2 linked regions of the Mus musculus genome follow. The protein of the gene in region 1 purifies or fractionates together with the protein of each later gene. This does not show direct contact. Links are inferred from orthologs where the notes say so. Each region holds a gene or a part of one and is shown in the gene's direction. Other genes may lie near its edges. The genes, in order: Nckipsd and Gemin2.

Region 1 (4,525 bases):
GTGTGTGTGCACTGCCAAAAATTGGCAGAAACATTTGATAAAGCCAGGGTCTGGATATCAAGTTCTTGTCTTGGCTGAGCCTTCTGGCAGCTCCCCACATCCCACTGGGCCTACCTCCACCATGCCTAAAAATAGATTAGCGAAGTCTAGGTGTAGTCTGGCTCATCTAAGTACTCAGGCAGAGGGAGTTGGATTGCTGTTAGTTTCAGGCCAGTTGGTGCTGCTAGTGTGACCTTGTCTTTAGGGGGAAAAAGCCAGGTGTGGTGGCACCTGCCCTAAGTCCCAGCATTTGGGAGGCAAAGGCAGATGGATCATTGGATTTAAGGCCAGCCTGGTCTACATGGTTCCAGAACAGCCAAAACTACACAGTGAGACCTTGCCTTGGAACATTGTCTGATGGTGTGTATATCCTGTGCTCCTTAGATTAGTGGAGAGTATGCAAGGATCCTTTAGGCCTTCTTCACTACGACCGAGGGATGCCAAGGATTTCAAAGATGTGGATGGCTAGGCTGAATATTAAACTGAAGGTCAGGGATGCTTTTTCTTTCTTTGAGACGGATTCTTACTATGAAGCCCAGGCTGGTCTTGATCTTGGCTTTCTACAGCTCTGCCTCCTGGATGCTGGGATCATGCCACCATTCAGAACTCAAAACATGCTTTTTAAACCTCATGTGTTCAGTCCCTACCCTATCAGCCTTCTGCCCTAACCATTTTTTTTCCCCAGTGCCATTTGTGATGTTGGGGCAGGACAGGGTTGGTAACAGACAGCCTTTTAAAACAGGAGATGCATGTATACACGCAGTTTGATTCGTTATGAGTAAATATGACCTTAGGTCATAGACTTAAATCCTTTTGTAACAACAAAAATGGCAAAAGGATAGTCATTGACAAGTTGGGGCGTGGTCCAGAAGGGAGTGTTCAAATAGAACAGATGCAAGACTCAAGATAGGAAAGAAGCCAGTATATATGAAGGGAGTGTATATGTGGTGGGTAGCAAAGATGCATTCTGGACAGTACAACCTGGTTTTGTCCCTTGCCCTCCACACTTGTCCACCACCTCAGCGACAGAGTAGGGACTTTGTACTAAGGCACTGTGAGGCCTAGATGCGCTGGGGAGACCCCTCCCCAGAAAGAACTTCCAAATGTCTGATCAGGATTCCTCAAAGCAAAACACCATATCCCCGTCCCCAGGGACGCACTGGCTATAAGCATCCTTCATCAGGAGGTGGGAAGGAACGCAGCGCTTGCACCTGAGCTGGGAAAGGAGGAGGAAAGCCAGGGAGAGGGAGTTAGGACCCTAAGTCAGCTGACTGGAGTCTGAGGCCTGAAGGAACTGGAGACTCCCACCCCGCCCCGCCAAACCTCTCTCGGCCGCGAGGGGGCGCGGCGCTCCAATACTGGAGCCGACTCGCTCCTGGGGCGGGGTTCCGGCGGTCGCGCATGCGCACGCGCGGCGTGTCACGGGGCGGGGCGGGGCAAGCGCCGGGCGGCGCGGCACTCAGGGCCTGGCTTCCCGGCACCGCAACCTTCGTCGCGTACCCAGCCCCGGCGCTTCGCGGCCCGGCCCGGCCCGGCCTCATGTACCGCGCGCTGTATGCGTTCCGCTCCGCGGAGCCGAACGCCATGGCGTTCGCTGCAGGCGAGACCTTCCTGGTGCTGGAGCGCAGCAGCACGCACTGGTGGTTAGCAGCACGGGCGCGCAGTGGCGAGACCGGGTACGTGCCGCCTGCCTACCTGCATCGCCTGCAGGTGAGTGTGTCCCTCCGTCCCAGGCCTCTCGACCGAACCCCTTCACCAGCACGCAGAACCGATCCAGGAAGCTCAGTCAGATTCTTCGGGACTTCTACCAGACAAGGAGGTTGAGACTCTGACCTTAAGTCCCAAGAGCCGTAAGGACTGAGACCCCTCCGGAAGGGCCGTCAACACCCACCCGAGACTAGGCCTTTGACATTTAACCGCAGGCCCGTGAAAAGCTTAATTCTGGAACAGGGACTCTCTGTCATCGATAATCAGAGCCTCCATCTGCATTGAATTCTCGAGCTGGATCCAGAGACTTCCAGTCCATTCATTATCCAAGTCCCTTAGACCTCCAAACCCTATTCGTTCCCCTTTCCTGAATCCCTAGGATGCCCATCTCCCATCAATCTGTAGCCTCCACCTTTAACTGTAAAGATCACCGTGCCCACCACTGACTGTGCCACCTCATACACCACCTGTTTCCTCAACCACCCTCCAGGTTCTTAGTCCCCACCCCACCCACACACTTGGACCCCAGAGCCACAGGCATTCCTGTCCCTTATGCGAGTCCCAATTCCTGTAGTATCTCTGTATCCCGAACCCGCCCACCTATCAAGCTCTCCCCAAGGACAATTCCCCAACCCTTCAGGAACCAAGGCCCCTGGCCCCTGCTGATAGACAAGGTTCCCTGGCACAGCCCCCACTTCTCCCAAGCCTCCACTCCTGACTTCTCTGGTTTCCTTCCTCTGAAATCTGGGCGCTCCATCCTGGAATGGGAGCTGTCCACACTGTGAGGAAGTGAGCCTCCTTCATGGTTTCCCGTTCTGAAGATGGCCTGGTCCCCTTCCAGTGGAGCCTGCTCCAGTTCCTGTTTGCTCAAGAGTAGTCCTGCTGCAGTGTCTCCAGCTAGCCTATTCTGACTGCAGGAGGAAGGGGACCCAGGGCAGTCTGGGCTATTCCAGACTCATAGTCCCTAGCTATGGAAACATCCTGTCCCAGCCCAGTTAAGGACAGAAATACTGTGATAAATTTGGAAATGTCATCTGGTCTTGCTAAAGACGAGGGACCCTTGGTTCTAGGGTCCTCCTCACAGACTCTCAGTCTCCTCTAGAGGTGTTCAGGTGAGAAAAATCTAAACTGTGTCACACCCAGCTCAGCTTTTTGAGCACCCAGGTCTCTTTGGAGACTTTGAGGAAGCCCTGCCTCTTTGTCAGGCCCTGTGGAGCCTCTGCTCTAGCCAGGGTCAGTGGGGCTGGAGGGTTTGGGAAGGAAAGATCTTTCTCGGATCACTTCCTGTTTCTTTCGTCATACCCCTAGTCTCAGTTCCCCCGACTGCGAATTTCTGTCTCATTTTTACTCCACCTGGTGTTTGCCCTTCTTTTTCAAAACTTTCCCTTTCTGTCGCTGTTGCTGTCTCTCCCTGCCCCGCCCACACACCTTCTGCCATCTGAAGGACTTTGCTGACCCCTATATTTATTTGGCCCTATCCAGGGAAGCCTCTTAAACTCACTCCGGAACTAAACACGGTGACTTATGTGTACAGTCTGAGGCTTCGGGAAGAGTACCTTGAGCTCCAGGCCAGCCCTGGGCCACATAGCCACTTCCAAACCAGCTTGAGCTGCAGAGATTCTCATCTCAAAAGACCAGCCACCCAGCCAACTAAAACAAACGGGACTGTACCCTAATGTGTGCTTAGGTCTGTTCTGGGGTTCCTGTCCCGCAGCTGGCCAACCCCACCGCTGTAATCCACACCTCCCTCCATGCCAGACAGTGGGGTAGAACGGACTCCTGGGTTACTGAGGACGGCCACACAGGCAGGAATCAGGCCAGTCTCTCAAGTCCCTCCTTTGTCAGAAGCAGAGTGCCTTCCCAAAGGTGGTCTGAAAAAGTGGCGGGACAGCTTGGGAGGGTGGAAGGAAGGGAGGTCCTTTTGACCCGTTTTTACCTCCCAGCGCTTGGGAAGGTCCCTGTGGGTGGGAAGGTCCCTGTGGGGACAGGGCTGTTTTGGAGTGTGACCTTGGCTTTGTGAAGGAGCAGCATCCAGAGTGACTGATTAGGGATCCCAGACATGAGAGTCTTCCCTTTTGGCATCTCATGCTGGGCTCTGAGCCAAGCCCAGGGAGAGACTAGGTTTGGACTCCTGGTCCCAATCTGGGATTCCTATGGTTTCTCTCTATAGGTTTTTAGAATTGTCTTTGCCGAGAGCCTGTGTATGCAAGCCCCTAAATGTAAACTATAAAATACCATCACAGAGTCCCAGGTAACACGATTTGACCACTTCATTCTGTATTCCATTTTGGCTGTCTTCTAGTGTCCAGAATTCTAGGCTAGTTCCAGATTGGGCTGGGTCTGGGCTGACCAATCCCACTTGGCACCCAGGTCTAACTACCCACCTACCTTTAGGGCATGGAACAAGATGTCCTCCAAGCTATTGACCGTGCCATTGAGGCTGTGCACAACACAGCCATGCGAGATGGCGGCAAGTACAGCCTGGAACAGCGTGGAGTCCTTCAGTGAGTATCTGGGAAGTGGAGGTAATACCTTCCCTTGAGCGTGTTGGTGGGGCCAGAGACACTGGAGGCAGTACTAGGGTTAGTGCGAGGTTCCACAGAGTGGGATGAATGATGGGAAAGATGGACGATGAGGAGCCTGTACTGTGAGGTCCCAGAATCCCGCAGGGGGTTTAAAAAAAGATTTATTTTAAAGTGTATATATGAGAGAAAGTGTATATGTGTGTGAGAGTATGTGCATGCATGTGTGTGTGTGTATGTGTGTGCATGCATGTGTG
Region 2 (4,238 bases), on another chromosome or scaffold:
GGCCTCTTGGAGGGCCTGGGCCAGGACAACATGGCTGGTGCCGCCTCTGCCACGTCAAAGGGGAGGAGGCGGGGAGGGGCGACCAGCGAAGGGGCGGGAACAGTCCCGGAAGAGGCGGGGCGCGCAGGAGGTAATGGGCGCGTTGAGTGGCGGAAAAGATGAACCGGGAGTAATAAAGAGGGTGGGGCGAGCGTGAAAGACGGCCAAGCAAAGCGGAGGGCGGGGACAATTCAGGAAGGGGCGGGGCTAGCAGGAAGCGATGCGATAGCCAGGGCGGTGGAGGAAGGGAGGTAACCGGAGTAATAAAGGGTGGGATGTGGCCGCTCGAGGCCGTGTGTAGGATTAAGGTTAAAATACCTGACTAGGGCATTGCTAGCCCCAGAAAAAAAGAAAAAAAATGTTAACCACCAGATGTAGCTTTCACGTCTACTGTTTGCTTGAACGATTGTTTTTGTTTTCTAGTATATAGAAAAGGCTCTTGCAAGTTTTTTTCCTGACATTGTATCCGTGTCCAAAGAGGAGAAAGAACGAAGCACGAGTTAACAATTATTTGAAGTATTCGCTAGAAAATAGATGCTCGGATTCTCCTCTAATTTTGGGTTTTCGTCTGTGTGTTGTCAAGAGCCAATGAGAAGGCTTGGCTCAGGGACCTCACTTGCCTAGAACTCATAAGGCAGAAAAAGAAACTTTACTCCCAGAAGTTGTATTCTGACCTCCTCACCGACCCACAAGCAATCGCAAAATAGTAATTTTAAAGTTTTTAAGTATCTCACTCGGCTAGTGGTGATGGTTCATGCCTGTAATCTCAATAGTCAAGGTTAAAAAAAAAAAAAAAAAAAAAAAAAAAAAGGCAGCCCAGCTTACGTTACACTGCAAACTGTAGACCCTTCTAAGCCACAGAAGAGACAGTCTCAAAAACCTAAAAATTATCCTCGTGTGATACTTGGTACTCCAGAAGCTGAGGCCAGGGGATCGGATCACTACAAGTTTGAGACTCCTTGAGCTACCTAATGAGTTCCAGAACAGCCTCAACTAAACTTTAAGATGCTATCCGAAAAAGTGAAAAACAAAACAAAAAGTTCTGCATTCATCCACTCTGTTCCCCGCGAAGTCAGAAAGACACCACCCTAAGGGGTTGTAAGATTTAGACGAATGTAACGTGTTTACAAATGGTTAAAGGCTTTAGTACTCTAAAAATGACGATTATAGCGATATTGTTCATTAATTTTAAAAATATTAAAGATTTCAAAGTTCATCCTCAGTCCCTGCCGCCTACCCAAGCTTTAGACGAGAAAATGGGATTAGACAGAGCGACCTAGAAACTCTTCAGGAACCACTTCTGCCAGGAATTATTCTCGAGCGCTACATTCCACCACCGGTGCCATAAGCTTGATGCAACCAGCAGGTTTCTTGTGTGGCTCCGCCCCCTTGCGCCTGTAGCCGGTGGCCTCGGCGGAGGTCGCTTAGGCGCCTGCGCCGTGCCTACTCTGGGCGCCGATTGAGACTGGCGGGAGCGAGAACCATGGCGTGGGTTCCAGCCGAGTCTGCGGTGGAAGAGTTGATGCCACGGTTGTTACCTGTGGAGCCCTGTGACTTGACGGAAGGTTTCGATCCCTCGGTCCCCCCCAGGACGCCTCAGGAATATCTGAGGAGAGTGCAGTGAGTGATTTCGCCCCGTGCGAGTGGGCTGGTTGTCGTGCCCCTGTGTACAGCCCTGGTGCCGCGCCTGACCCTTGGTGTGCAACAGTCCCTCCTCTGTTTGCGTTCCTATCTTTCGGGAGGTCCGGGAAATTTAAGATCTTATTACACCCTACGGTTGGCAGATAACTTTTGAACTTGATTGCACGTTAAGACGTGTGTTCTTAAATTTCTTTGCTTTTCATCTAGGTGTCAGGCGTTTCGTTTTTTCATTGGGAGCTTGCACTTTTATTTCCCATTTCATAATAAAGTAAAACACATCTCTCTATTCTACAAAGCGAAATAATAAGTATCATGTATGTATTACTTAATTGTAGGATCGAAGCAGCCCAATGTCCAGATGTTGTGGTAGCCCAGATTGACCCAAAGAAGTTGAAAAGGAAGCAAAGTGTGAACATTTCTGTGAGTTTAACCAACCACCTGGGAATATTTTAACAACACACACATATACAACACGAACATTTTCCTATCATATCAAAAATATAAGTTATGGTGTGTATAAGATTAGATTGCTCCTTATAAAGTTAGGCACCACTTGGAAGCTAACACAGAGGCGTTTTGGTCTGGAGGCCAGCCTACATTGAGACCCTCTGGAAAATGTGTGTGTGTGTGTGTGTGTGTGTGTCATTTAAAAGATTACTTCCCCTACCCCCAAAAAGTACTTCAATTGTTTACTAATATTGACCTTTATAGCCGGGCGTGGTGGCGCACGCCTTTAATCCCAGCACTCGGGAGGCAGAGGCAGGCGGATTTCTGAGTTCGAGGCCAGCCTGGTCTACAAAATGAGTTCCAGGACAGCCAGGGCTACACAGAGAAACCCTGTCTCAAAACAAACAAACAAACAAACAAACAAAAGTACTTCAATTGTTTACTAATATTGACCTTTATAAATAATTAAGGATATTTTTTTCTGGATATACCTTTATAGTTATTTTTCAGGGTGGTGCATTGTACACTTTTTCAATTTGACCTGGTATCATTTTCTCAGTATAGAAACACAGCTGTCTTGGCAGCTTTCTGTCCATATTCTTTATTCATTTGCTTAGCCAGCACACTTTTTATTGAGCAGTTAGGTTGTGCTGGGCACTAAGAACACAACAGAGGATCATAAAGAAAAGGTCCCTAAAGACCAGGCCTGTTGGTAAGCACGCTTGTAATCCTAGCACTTGGAAGTAGAGACAAAAGGGTCAAGAAGTCCAGATCATTCTCAACTACATAGAAGATTCCAGGCTACCCTGGAATATATAAGACTCTCATCTCAGAAACAAAGGAGAAAACTTCCCTATGCTTGTACAGTATCGGTCTCCTGAAGGGCACAAAGAATAGCCAAATAATTACATCATCTGGTCATTGCATGAAGAAAATAAACAGCACTCAGTAGTCAAAACTATAGGGCTAGAGAGATGGCTCAGTGGAGTCCTTCCAGAGGATGCAGGTTCAATTCTGAGCAGATAGTGGCTCACAACCATCTCTAGCTCTAGTTCCAAGGGCTCTGATGCTCTCTTTACACCTTTTCAGGTACCACGCGTGGATATGATACATAGACATGCATGCAGACAAAACACTCATACACATAAAGTAAATAAAACTTTTTAGTTTAAAAAAAAAAATCTCAGCCATTTACGGTAGTACATGGTTTTAATACCAGCACAAATGAATCAGAGGCTAGCCCAGTCTACATAGTGATTTACAGAACATCCAAGACCACATAAGGAGACTCTATCAGGAAAAAAAAAAACAAAACAAAACTTGGGAGTAGGAGGGTGTTTCCTCAGGGAAGATTATATGAAACCTGAGGTCAGGTTTTTCCGTTTTTCAAGGTTTTTGACAATGTATGTTTGAAGTAATTCCTCTAATGTTTATAATTAGGACATTTTAATTCATGCACTATATATAACCTTACATGTTTTCACTAGACGCACACGAGTTCATGTGTACTTGGTCTTTTTTCCAATTTACCCCACTGAGTTCTGTTAGAAGGTGATACCTGATTATTTGGGGTTTTATAAAACATTTTTTTAGACTTGTTTCCGTTTTTGTTGTTTATTTTATGTATGAGTGCTCTGCTGCATGTAAACCTGCATGCCAGAAAAGGACATCAGACCCCATTACAGATGGTTGTGAGCCACTACATGGTTGCTGGGAATTGAACTCAGGACTCTGGAAGAGCAGCCAGTGCTCTTAATGGCTGAGCCATCTCTCCAGCTTGACACCTGATCATTTGTTAACTGTGTGCTATTTTGGAAAATAAAAGTAAGACTTGGCATGTTGAGTATTTAGCCACCTTGTTTGACAACTCTGGGGTTTCAATCATCACCATGCCAATCCCCACCTGTCTTAGTTAAGGTTTTACTGCTGTGAACAGACACCATGACCAAGACAAGTCTTATAAAAACAACATTTAATTGGGGCTGGCTTACAGGTTCAGAGATTCAGTCCATTATCATCAAGGTGGGAGCATGGCAGTATCCAGGCAGGCTTGGCACAGGAGGAACTGAGAGTTCTACATCTTCATCCAAAGGCTGCTAGTGGAAGACTGA

What was found.
Region 2: the proteins of Nckipsd (region 1) and Gemin2 purify together in Homo sapiens (co-immunoprecipitation; 3 studies listed by BioGRID and IntAct, counting the BioPlex papers as one, with this or other methods). This does not show direct contact. The link is inferred for Mus musculus from reciprocal best matches to the Homo sapiens genes NCKIPSD and GEMIN2.

The regions. Positions count from the first base shown.
Region 1 is NC_000075.6:108,806,906-108,811,430, forward strand, and holds the start of Nckipsd (NCK-interacting protein with SH3 domain), read left to right. Parts: upstream 1-1,474; 5' UTR 1,475-1,578; coding exon 1,579-1,749; intron 1,750-3,916; exon of another isoform or gene 3,917-3,997; intron 3,998-4,140; coding exon 4,141-4,250; intron 4,251-4,525. UniProt on the Homo sapiens protein: Has an important role in stress fiber formation induced by active diaphanous protein homolog 1 (DRF1). Induces microspike formation, in vivo. In vitro, stimulates N-WASP-induced ARP2/3 complex activation in the absence of CDC42.
Region 2 is NC_000078.6:59,011,955-59,016,192, forward strand, and holds the start of Gemin2 (gem-associated protein 2), read left to right. Parts: upstream 1-1,436; 5' UTR 1,437-1,522; coding exon 1,523-1,659; intron 1,660-2,015; coding exon 2,016-2,100; intron 2,101-4,238. UniProt on the Homo sapiens protein: The SMN complex catalyzes the assembly of small nuclear ribonucleoproteins (snRNPs), the building blocks of the spliceosome, and thereby plays an important role in the splicing of cellular pre-mRNAs.